Linked DNA regions of Oryctolagus cuniculus. The protein of the gene in region 1 interacts with the protein of each later gene in a biochemical or structural test. Links are inferred from orthologs where the notes say so. Each region holds a gene or a part of one and is shown in the gene's direction. Other genes may lie near its edges.

What was found. The genes of interacting proteins can lie anywhere in the genome.
Region 2: the proteins of APBA1 (region 1) and CNTNAP4 form a complex in vitro, tested with the Homo sapiens proteins (2 studies listed by BioGRID and IntAct, with this or other methods). The link is inferred for Oryctolagus cuniculus from reciprocal best matches to the Homo sapiens genes APBA1 and CNTNAP4.
Region 3: the proteins of APBA1 (region 1) and HTR2C form a complex in vitro, tested with the Homo sapiens proteins (2 studies listed by BioGRID and IntAct, with this or other methods). The link is inferred for Oryctolagus cuniculus from reciprocal best matches to the Homo sapiens genes APBA1 and HTR2C.

The regions. Positions count from the first base shown.
Region 1 is NC_091432.1:160,800,870-160,804,943, forward strand, and holds the start of APBA1 (amyloid-beta A4 precursor protein-binding family A member 1), read left to right. Parts: upstream 1-1,274; 5' UTR 1,275-1,419; exon of another isoform or gene 1,420-1,520; intron 1,521-4,074. UniProt on the Homo sapiens protein: Putative function in synaptic vesicle exocytosis by binding to Munc18-1, an essential component of the synaptic vesicle exocytotic machinery. May modulate processing of the amyloid-beta precursor protein (APP) and hence formation of APP-beta.
Region 2 is NC_091449.1:58,907,417-58,910,916, forward strand, and holds part of CNTNAP4 (contactin-associated protein-like 4), read left to right. Parts: intron 1-446; coding exon 447-671; intron 672-3,104; coding exon 3,105-3,238; intron 3,239-3,500. UniProt on the Homo sapiens protein: Presynaptic protein involved in both dopaminergic synaptic transmission and GABAergic system, thereby participating in the structural maturation of inhibitory interneuron synapses.
Region 3 is NC_091453.1:78,560,506-78,564,005, reverse strand, and holds part of HTR2C (5-hydroxytryptamine receptor 2C), read left to right. Parts: intron 1-1,868; coding exon 1,869-2,680; 3' UTR 2,681-3,500. UniProt on the Homo sapiens protein: G-protein coupled receptor for 5-hydroxytryptamine (serotonin).

The DNA.
Region 1 (4,074 bases):
CTAAAAGGCCTTCTGTGGGGGAGGGAAGAGCTCTTGTTTATTAAGGCCACTCCCCATCCCCGGCAGAGGTTCGCTGTGAGGTACAAAGCAAATTGATACGAATTTTAAATTGAAAGGATTTCCAGAAGGCTTCATGCTGTGTGCCCTGCCCCGCTGATATCTCTGCAGGAATGGTGCTTAAATAATATGGAAACACGGTGTGGTAAAAGCTCCGTTTTCCACCGTGTCTGGATAACCAAGGTTCATCGTCATACTAGACGAGAATCCGAGCTTGTGTATGAAGAGGGCTGTGTGGATCATGGGGCTTCATCATCACTGGGAAATGTGTGTCCTGGAGAGGGGGCACAACTGGACCCCGACAAAGCCAATTACAGGGGAGGCTGGCGCCAGAGTGCAAGCCCACCCCCACCGCACCCCACCCCCCGGGACCTGCCTGTCCATCAGCCCATAGCTTCTCATTAACGCACAGCACCTGCCACCCGGTCCCCTGAAAACAGTCCCCTCCTTCCCGAGCTGGGGCGGGTGGCCTCTGTCAGGCTCAGAGACACTGCAAGTTCCGAGCACCCAGAACTGACACGCGAGCGGGAAAACCGGACGTCTCCCGGCATCCTTAACCCAGAGGCTGGCTTTCTGCTCTCCTTGGTCGGACCGGGCAGTTCGCCTCCGGGGCCGCCAGCCGGCCGGCGTGGCTCAGGCGCCAGCCAACGCGCGTCGCCCTCTTGCGGCGGCAGCGCCAGGGCGCAGCGCGTCCGGAGACAGCCGCACCCGCGTTTCGGGGGCCGGGGGAGCGGGAAGCTTGGAGTAACGAGCGAGCGAGTGAGCGAGCACACGCGGCCTGGCCACTTCCTACGCGCAGAGGTTGGCCACAGCCGCTGGTCAGCAAACCGGGGACCCCCTGAGGCTGCCGCGGAGGGGCGTGGAAGTCCCTGGCAGGCCCCTCAGGGACGCAGCCGCACGTCTCCCTCCCTGCCCTCGGCCTGGAGCCCGAGTGAGGGCTGGCGGGGCTCGCCCGAGAGCGCCTTGGGCGCGACGGGCAGCAAGAGGGCGCGGACACCCGGCATGCTCACCCGCGCGGCTGTGGCCGGGGTGCAGCAGCCAGCCGCCCGCCTCGGGCTCGCGCGGCGCGCGCACGCGGGTGGGCGTGGGAGGCAGGGGCGCTACTAGCACGCGGCGAGCGCGCGCGCGGGCGCGCTCCCTCAACAGGCCGGAGCGGCCCGGCCCCGCTGCGCGTCACGAGGGGCGAGCGAGAGAGCGAGCGAACGAGCTGGCGGGCGGGCGGGCGGGAGGGGAGCAGGGGGTGGGGCCGCGGGACCGGAGGGGCCCGAGCGGCAGCTGCGGAGCCCGAGCCGGAGCTGGGCGAGGGCGGCTGTGGTCGCGGCGACGGCGGCGCGGCAGCGGGAGAAGATGGTGGCGCTCGAGGTAGGAGCGGCTGGAGCGGAGCTTTATTCCCAGGCTTGGCACCGACGCTGTCATTAGCGCCGCCTGCTCCCGCGGGCCCGCGGACCCAGCTGTCAGGCAAGGTACCACGGCCGGGGAGGGGTGGCGGAGTGGGGGTGCCCGGCGCGGATGCCGCCCAGACCTAGCCCCGGTGCCCGCCGAAGGGGCAGGAGGAGCTGCATGGAACAATAGTGCCGTTGAGAGGGGACGGCGGGCGACGTCCAGGGGGCAGTGCCTGGAGCCGGCGAGCTCCAGCGAGGCGGGGGAAGGGGGCGTAGTGGGGAGACGCCGGGTGTCCGGCGCGCGCCGAGACCCCGGGGCTTCGGGGTCAGCGCGCGGGCCTGGTGACAGTCGCGACAGGAGTGTGTGTGTGTGTGTGTGAATGTGAGTGAAAGGTTCAGCAGAGGGGATGGGGGTGGCGGACCCAAGGGGTTGGGGGATGACATTTCCAGGAATCCCCGCTAGGATCCCTCCTCTCCTGCGACTCTCCGGGAGCAGGAGCGTGCCTATGGAAGCAGTGGGGCCGGCAGGATGCACTTGGGATGTGAAGTGCGGAGGGAGGCAGAGGGGTAGGCGCAGGTTTGTACAATCCCGTGGAAGCGTGTGGTTGTCTTCTCGCTCCCGGAGCTGCACCCTAAACCCACAGGTCTGCTAGTGCCAGGACTTGGGGCCACCGGCCCAGACTGTGGGGGCAGTGTTTGCTGTTTCGACCCTGCAACTCTGAGTCCTGCGTGCGGATGGCCGCGGGCAGGGGTTCTCACTTCCCCTTTCTCTGGCCCCATGACTTGGGGATGTGGAAGTTGGCATGTCGCGTTGGGGCGCACGCCCGGGAGAATGGTGATCGTGGTTGCACGTTCAGGGCTTGCTGGTGTGCCCAGGTTGGAAGCGAGCTGCCCGCCTGTGACACTGTTCTCCTCAGCCCCTCGACTGCAAGGGTCTTGGACTGTCTCCGCCGTTTCTGTCGTTTATCTCCTGTCTGACCTGAAAGGGGGGAGGGGGCGGTCTTTAATGGTTGCTCTCCCCTTCGCCGCAACTTTGCCAATCAACCAGATCTTCTCCCTCGCGTGGCCAAGCCCTGAAAAGCTTGTGGCTGAAGGATGAGCGGCCTTTGTGTTGGCTCCCTTAGAAGGAACTCTGGAGGTGTGCACAGGGAGAGAGATGGGAGAAGAGTCTTTAAAAAGAAGAGCAAGATCCTGCTGAGAAGTGTTTGGTGCCCTTTTGGCCAGCATCACCCAACCAGGGCGTTTACTGGAGGAAATGGGACACTTTATTTCTTCTGCTGGAGACAGCCACTCTCCAGGCTCTTACAATGGCTAGGTGGTGCCCTGTGTGTCCCTTGGGTACCGAAATATCCCAAGACCCACGGTGATGAGTTCCCTGGTTGGTGAAGTCCCTGCTTTGCTACTGGATAGGGTCCCCCCACCCCCATGGCATTTGGTCAATGTCAGGCTGGGAATAACTCATCCAGCGGGAACCAGGATGCAGAGACGCCTGCAGAGACTGTAGCTGGGTGATAAAGATAGGGTTGTGTAGGGCTGAATGGAGAGAGGGAGAGAGAGGAAGGGAGATGGCATATCCATGTGTGGGTCTGCTGCAGTTTGGCTCTCCGGTGGCCGTATTTCTCCTGCAATGTTCATAGGAGTGAATGCACCTTTACACTGAATACCTTGATTCTTCGTTGTTGAAATGTTGCATGACTAGATTAACCTGCCTAGGACATATTTTAGTCACAGCACCTTAAATTCTGCTGCATTGCTGTCAGAACCCAAACTGGCAGCCCCAGTCCTCTTTGAAAAGCCTATAGCAGTCATGGCTGTAGAACTAAATACATAACGTGTTGACACCAAATGTTTCTTTTCTTTTTTCTCTTTCTAAAATTTTGCTTTGCTTTCTTGGCAAAGATTACACGATATGGTTGTTACCTTGGAAAGAGCAAAATGAAGGCGATCCGTGGATGCTTTTGTCCCTCCCCATTTGTCTTCTCTTAATTAATGATGATGTATAGACCAGGAGCTCTTGAAGCTGTCAATGTAAAGTAAATTTTCCCATGTCCTTCAACTCAAGCTTCTAAAATTTTAATGTGAGGTTGTTGGATCTTATCCAAGATTTAAGGGTAGATTTATAAAGATGAATTTTGAATCCTAGTTCTTTTTTCTCTTATTAGTTCTGCCAAATCTTTCTAACAAAAGTGCTAATGGAATCAAAAAGGCATTCTAAGAGGTTTTGATTTTGGGGGAAAAAAAGCCATCATCTTTATATTTGCAAGTAAAACCAGGATGTAAATGTCTTACGAGAAAGTTTACGAATATTAAGAATTACCCAAGGTAAATGAACTGTTCAGAGAAAGAAGAATTATACAACAGCACAGTTGATGACTCAGGAATTAATGATTTCCTTTCTAATGTAAATGTGGTAATTTCTAAAACGCAGTGCCTGGCCCTTCTGAAGATTGGGCTGGCAAGGTTCATGCTGCAGCTCAAGCCCTGTAATTCAGTCCAGTAAACAGTCGTCTCTTCTGCCCTGGCCCGCAGCAAGTCATTCGTTTTGTGTGGATGCCTTCCCTTCACTTAAAGTAACATTAATGCTTTTCTTTCTCATTTATTGGAGCACTTAAAAGTGTTCTTTTATTTCTCAGAA
Region 2 (3,500 bases), on another chromosome or scaffold:
AACTGTGAGAAAGTGTTTAGAAAAAAATTTTTTTTGTTATTAATCCTAAGAGAGAAAAGTCAAACTTGCTTCTTTTGTAATTATTGCAGTGAGACTAGAATATACTAACTGCAAAATAAATGATTGGAATTAAAATTTAAACAAGAAAGTAGATGGTCAAGGATGTAAATGACCAGAAGCCTGGCTTATGTTTGTGCTCTGGGAAGAGTCTTAAGCTTTTGATTGCAAAGTTAAACTAGTGAGTTAATTCTATGTCACCCAAACATAAAGTCATTTCATGGCCAGTATGAAAACCCTCTTAATTTACTGTGTTATTGGAGTCAAGTGTGAGGCCGCTTCTTCCATCTACGTGATTTGTTATTTTTAAGAAATTTAATTTCACTAGTATAGCTAAAACAAGATCCTTGTACTTAATATTTTAACATAAAATGTGAATGTCATTTCAGAGATTTCTGCATATTTTGGGGCTGGCTCATCCGTGATTTACAATTTTCAAGAAAATTATTCCTTAAGTAAAAACTCCAGCTCCCACGCTGCATCATTTCATGGTGATATGAAGCTGAGCAGAGAAACGATCAAGTTCAGCTTCCGAACAACACGCGCGCCAAGCCTGCTGCTGTACATGAGCTCCTTTTACAGAGAATACCTTTCAGTCATCATTGCCAAAAATGGTGAGTGCTTCTTGGATAAGAGAGAAAAAATTGAATTTGGACACTCAGACTATAATATGTGGATCATTTTTGTGTTTTTGCTTCTCAAACTATAAGCAGAAAAAACAGTGTATCTGTTTTTCTATTCATTATGCTTTTACAGTGCTGTCCCTAAAGCTTAGACTCAAAGGATTATTTCAAATAGGGATGATGCCTTTATCTTTCTCATTTTGATAATTTTATATGTGCTTTGTGAATTTTTAATTTATTCATATAAATATTTATTATACATTATTGTCAGAAGCCACTTACTATCCCCTGTGGATATCAGTACTAGTTTTGTGGTTTTTAAAAAATATGTCTGGTTGTACATAACAAATAGTTCCTTCAAATCAAAGTAAAGAAGTATGAAGAGTATGTTCACAAACCAACAAGTTTGTGAGAAAATGTCCACAAGATGACCAGTTGGTTCCTTTTTTTTTTTTTTTTTGACAGGCAGAGTGGACAGTGAGAGAGAGAGACAGAGAGAAAGGTCTTCCTTTGCCGTTGCTTCACCCTCCAATGGCTGCCGCGGCCAGCGCGCTGCGGCCGGCGCACCGAGCTGATCCGAAGGCAGGAGCCAGGAGCCAGGTGCTTCTCCTGGTCTCCCATGGGGTGCAGGGCCCAAGCACTTGGGCCATCCTCCACTGCACTCCCTGGCCACAGCAGAGAGCTGGCCTGGAAGAGGGGCAACCGGGACAGAATCCGGAGCCCCGACCGGGACTAGAACCCAGTGTGCTGGTGCCACAAGGCGGAGGATTAGCCTATTGGGCCACAGCGCTGGCTCAGTTGGTTCTAAATAGAGGCAATATAATAATCATGGGAAATATTGGTGTATCCACCCGAGAAAATGATAATGGATTAGGAAATGTGTATGCTATAGAAATCTTGTTGCATAAAACCCCTACCTGCTATTATTATCTTCCATATATTTGGATTAAAGATAAAGATTTTACAAATATATTCTCTAGGGGAGAAAACAAGCAAATATAGAGACCCATGAATATGTCTTTTCAGATATATCATATATGGGTTTAGGACACTGACCACCAAAATAAAAATAATACTGTTACGCAAGTATGCTTACTTTCACTGTACATTTTGGGCTCAAAAGTTATCTATAAATTAGGACGTTTTCTTTGTCAATTGGAGGAGGGATCCATGAAAAAAATTTCTTGACATTTCTTCAATCAATTCAGTGATTACAAAAAATATATAGGAATGAAACAGACATTTTGCAATATGATTGTTATTTTTGGTCCCTGTTTATACTCCTGGGGAACTGTGGTCTTCGTACATTTTACTTGTTGAATTTTATGGTTAGTGGTGATTAAAGAAAGAAAAGGAAGGAGGGGGATTGAGGGAGGGAGGACGAGGAGGGTAATTTGGTTATCTTCTTAGAACTGTACCTATGAAATACATGAGAATCTATCCTCTTTATATTAATGAAAATTTTTAAAAATTATACATTTTGCTTAAACCCATTCATTTCACCTTAACTTTATTGCAAGTTTATGATCATGGCCACTTGGAAATAGGTTTCATCTTTGGTAAAACTATATATTTGTTTGTAATAATTACATTAGTCAATGGTATTTAAAGACTGTGAGATGTAATTTGAAAAGATAAGATTATAGGGGCCAGCGCTGTGGCATAGAGGCTTAATGTGCTTCCTACTGCTCTAATATCCCATATGGATACTGGTTTGAGTCCTGGCTGCTCCACTTCTGATCCAGCTCCCTGAGAATATACCTGGGAAAGCAGTATAAGATGCCCCAAATGCTTGGGCTCCTGAACCCCCAAAAGAGACCCGGAGGAAGCTCCTGGTTCCTGGCTTTGGTCTGGCCCAGCTATGGCTGTTGCAGCCATTTTGGGGAGTGTAACAACAGAAGAAGACCGCTGTCTGTCCCTGTTTCACCCTCTCTCTCTCTGGAACTGCCTTTCAAATTAAATAAATAAATATTTTTTTGAAGGACAATGAGAAGGAGTCATTTATGAGAAAGCAGATTTAAAAAAAAGAAGAAAAGATTATAGAAACCGATTGTAATTGCAGTATTCCACAACAGTGAGGTATTTTAGAAATACATATTCTTATTTTTCTTTTTATAAATTAAAGGCTAGTGCTGAGATTTTCACATGTTTAATGTCAGAGTTGGCCTTTGGGGAAGAAAGTCAAAGGTTTGTAGAAACAAGATTATTTATTAACAGTGTTCTTGATCTTGATTTTGAAAATTCTGCAAAATTCCACTGAGAAACTGACTTCTATGAATGATCATTACAGGGTACATCCAAATGAAATATTGCAATTTTTTCTGTAAATGAATACATAATGACAAAAGGATTCTGAACTTTTGTAAGTAGTTCTTAAAATACATTTTTTTTGCAAACATTAATTCTCTTTTTCTTCTACCTTAGGAAGTTTACAGATCAGGTACAAGTTAAATAGATATCAAGAACCTGATGTCATTCATTTTGACTTTAAAAGCATGGCTGATGGGCAACTCCACCACATACAGATTGACAGAGAAGAAGGAGTGGTCTTCGTCGAGGTAAGGCAGTAGCATCAGCAGGAGTAGTGCTGCAGTGAGCGCTCCCCACCATGAAGGATCTGCAGTGCAGAGTTGGTGATGGACAGAACAGACAAAGAGCGTGCAGTGCTTCACCGCAGTGTGTGGTCGACTATTAAAGGCAGTCAGGTTTTTTTCAGCAGTAAGATTCTGTCCAAAATCTTATTAATACCTGACTTGATGTGCTACACTTGCCTCCCTTGTTTTCGTCTTCCTGATAGGGAAATGTCTGGTTTATCAGTGT
Region 3 (3,500 bases), on another chromosome or scaffold:
TTTCCTTAACATCAGACAACTCGCTCTGCAGCTAAGCCTTCACTAAAATATCTCATAAAGGGCAAACCAATACTGACTTGGTTTCGGCCAAGCTTTGTCTGCACTTTTTCTAGAGATTATCTTATATTTATGACTTTCTGAGTAAAGGTTCTAACAATATAAACTGGTAGCTTTCTTACTTGCATTTTTATAACTCAAGAAATATGACCTGCGTAGTTTTGCCGCTGTCTTTATTTCCAAATATGTGCTTAACTTCTCTCAAGTATTTCATCAAATTTGGTGGAATGTTACCTTCTCCCTCCCCCTGCAGATACTTGGCACTCTTCCCACTCAGGGCTAACGGTCTCCCTGCGAGGATCCTGCTCCTGCTGTGTATGACCAAAGACCTGTGTTCTCAGGGCCTCCTGGTTTTTTTCAGCCTTCCTTCCTTGAATGTCATGCCTAGGTTCAGAGTATTTAGGTGGTTGTGGACTGATACCTAAGTCTTGTCCCGTTTTTTTCTACTTCTCACACTATCGTTTGGGCTCTTTCTATAGAAAAAGGCCAATATTTTGGAACTTTAGCATCTGAGGAAGAAGGCTTAGAAATACTGTCTTGTGTCTTGCCAGAGATTGAGCATCAGTCAACAGCCTCGGCAAACTCTAGCAAAGAAACACTGTTTTTCCCCTTTTGAGTATCCAGCCAAACACTCTATACACCTGCCTAGGGGTTCAAACAACCTGTCAGGACTTTGAATTTGGGTTTCTTCACAGTTCCTTTTGTGTCCCCTAAAGTCAGCACCCGTCCCAGTGGGTCCACTTCTGTCTCTTCCCAAACCTCATACCTACCAGTCCAGGATTTCTAATAATCTCTGATATACTCTCACAAGGACAGTCTGGATTTTCTTGGGCTTCAATCTGCTGTGGGCAAAAGAGAGAGAAATTATACAAACATTCAAATACCACTTATAAGGAACCTCTACACATGAAGGCAGGACCTCTCCAAGATCCACCAGAGTTATTTCTAAAAGTTTCCAAGAGGTTTCTTACTTAAGCTCTTGCACAAGGGTACCTTCCACTCCCAACTCCTTGATGATGTCTTCTGCCTATAAACCTCTCTCTCAGAATACTATGTCACAGTAGTCTTTAAAACCAAAATGCACGGAACCCCCCACAGGAATGGCACTCTGCGTTTCACTATGTCTATTGACCTTGAAACAACATTACTTAGGCCCAGGACTAAACACAAACAATAAAAACTCACTAAAATGAGATTCCTGTCCCTATCTGCTTATAGACTGTTTCTGCATGGTGGTCAGACATAGCTCAGCCAACCTTGAAAAGGCTATTAAGTTTAAAGATGATAAGGAAAAAAATACAGATCTGAATTTATTCATTGATTCAGCAAATAGAGGAGCACTTCAAAATTTTATGGGAAAAATGGAATTACAATATTAGCATTTTGAGAAAACAACATTGAAATTCATGCATAGTTTTTTCATAACATGTGTTTTCCATGAACTTTCAAAGTGCCTAGTTATTGAGTGCCTTCTGTGAGCCAGTACAATTCAAGGAACTGTAAATACAACAAGAGGAACACAATCTACTCTTAGCCAACAATCATATCTCTAATAGTTTCTCTCAGTGTTGTTAAGCTCATGCCTTCCACAGAAATTTAGTGAGAAGGCATGGCTACCATGAAAGGAGAATCATTTTCTAGTATCTTACTATGACTGTTTCATGTGACCATCACTTACGCCATGAGCAGCATTCAACAAAAATCGGGTCTATACTTCTGCCAGTGAAACACAAATGGATTATGCCATGATACAATGTGCTCAGTGCTGCAGTAGGCTTAACGAGGTCCTGCCTTCTGTTTGATTTCTGTAGGTGTTTCAGTTCCTATCCCTGTGATCGGACTGAGAGATGAAGACAAAGTGTTCGTGAACAACACAACGTGCGTGCTCAACGACCCAAATTTCGTCCTCATTGGGTCCTTCGTAGCTTTCTTCATCCCGCTGACGATCATGGTGATCACGTATTGCCTGACGATCCACGTTCTTCGCCGACAAGCTCTGATGTTACTGCACGGCCACACCGAGGAACCACCCGGAATAAACCTGAATTTCCTCAAGTGCTGCAAGACAAGTGCTGCTGATGAAGAGAACGCGAACCAGGAGCAGAATGCCCGCCGGAAGAAGAAGAGACGTCCCAGGGGCACCATGCAGGCTATCAACAACGAAAGGAAAGCTTCCAAAGTCCTTGGCATTGTTTTCTTTGTGTTTCTGATCATGTGGTGCCCGTTTTTCATTACTAATATTCTGTCAGTTCTCTGTGGGAAGGCCTGTAACCAGAAGCTCATGGAAAAGCTTCTGAATGTGTTTGTTTGGATCGGCTATGTTTGTTCCGGAATTAATCCTCTGGTGTACACTCTCTTCAACAAAATTTACCGAAGGGCTTTCTCCAACTATTTGCGCTGCAATTATAAGGGAGACAAAAAGCCACCTGTTAGACAAATGCCACGAGTTGCCGCCACTGCTTTGTCTGGGAGGGAGCTGAACGTTAACATTTACCGGCACACCAACGAGCCGGTGATGCGGAAAGCCGATGACAACGAGCCCGGTATAGAGATGCATGTTGAGAATTTGGAGCTCCCAGTAGAGCCCTGCAATGTGGTCAGTGAAAGGATCAGTAGTGTGTGAGACAGTGCAGCACAGTCTTTTCCTGCGGTAAAGCTCTCCGGGTAGGAAAAGTCTCTCCTTTACTTTTTCTGTCGGTCCTAACTAATGTAAATACTGCAGTCTGACGAAAAGTGTTTTTATATATAGCTTTGCAACCCTGTGCTTTACGATCATGCGTGCAATAGTGAAATTTAGAGTTCTATATTTACTGTTTGTAATAGATGGAAACTAACTTATTTTGATTCTTTGATGACTAAAATGTTTATTTTTTTCTTTCCTTCTCTCCCTCCCTCCCTCCCTCCCTCCCTCCCTCCCTTGCTGCCTCCTATGCTGCCCTCCTTCCTTCCTTCTTTCCTCTCTTTCCCTCCTTTTGTGCATATGGAAATGTTCACGTTCATCTCAGGTGGCATTTGCAGGAGACCAGAATGATGCACGATCGTGGTTCTACTTCAACCACAGCAAAATTTACAAATTCAATGGATTCTTTTTCCGGGTTAACAGTAAATATACACTTTAAATTCTTGCTCTGCTCATCTACACACATAAACACAGTAAGATAGGTTCTGCCTTCTGATACAGCTATCAGTGAGTGCAAGGCAGAACTTAGCCTCGTTGCTACACACAGGGGCAAAATTTGACATTGTCAGAACGTTCTGTTGGTATTTTACTGCAATGTCTGTCCCCAAACATAGTGGTATTTTAACATAGCAGCTGGTTAACCAGGACTACAGAAGTGGAAGGATGATAAGAGATATAAACACCAAATAGCTTTTCACTTCTTAAGGACAATGTTCAAATTCTGACTATTAGGACAAGCAAACTGGAATTAGTGTTCTCATTC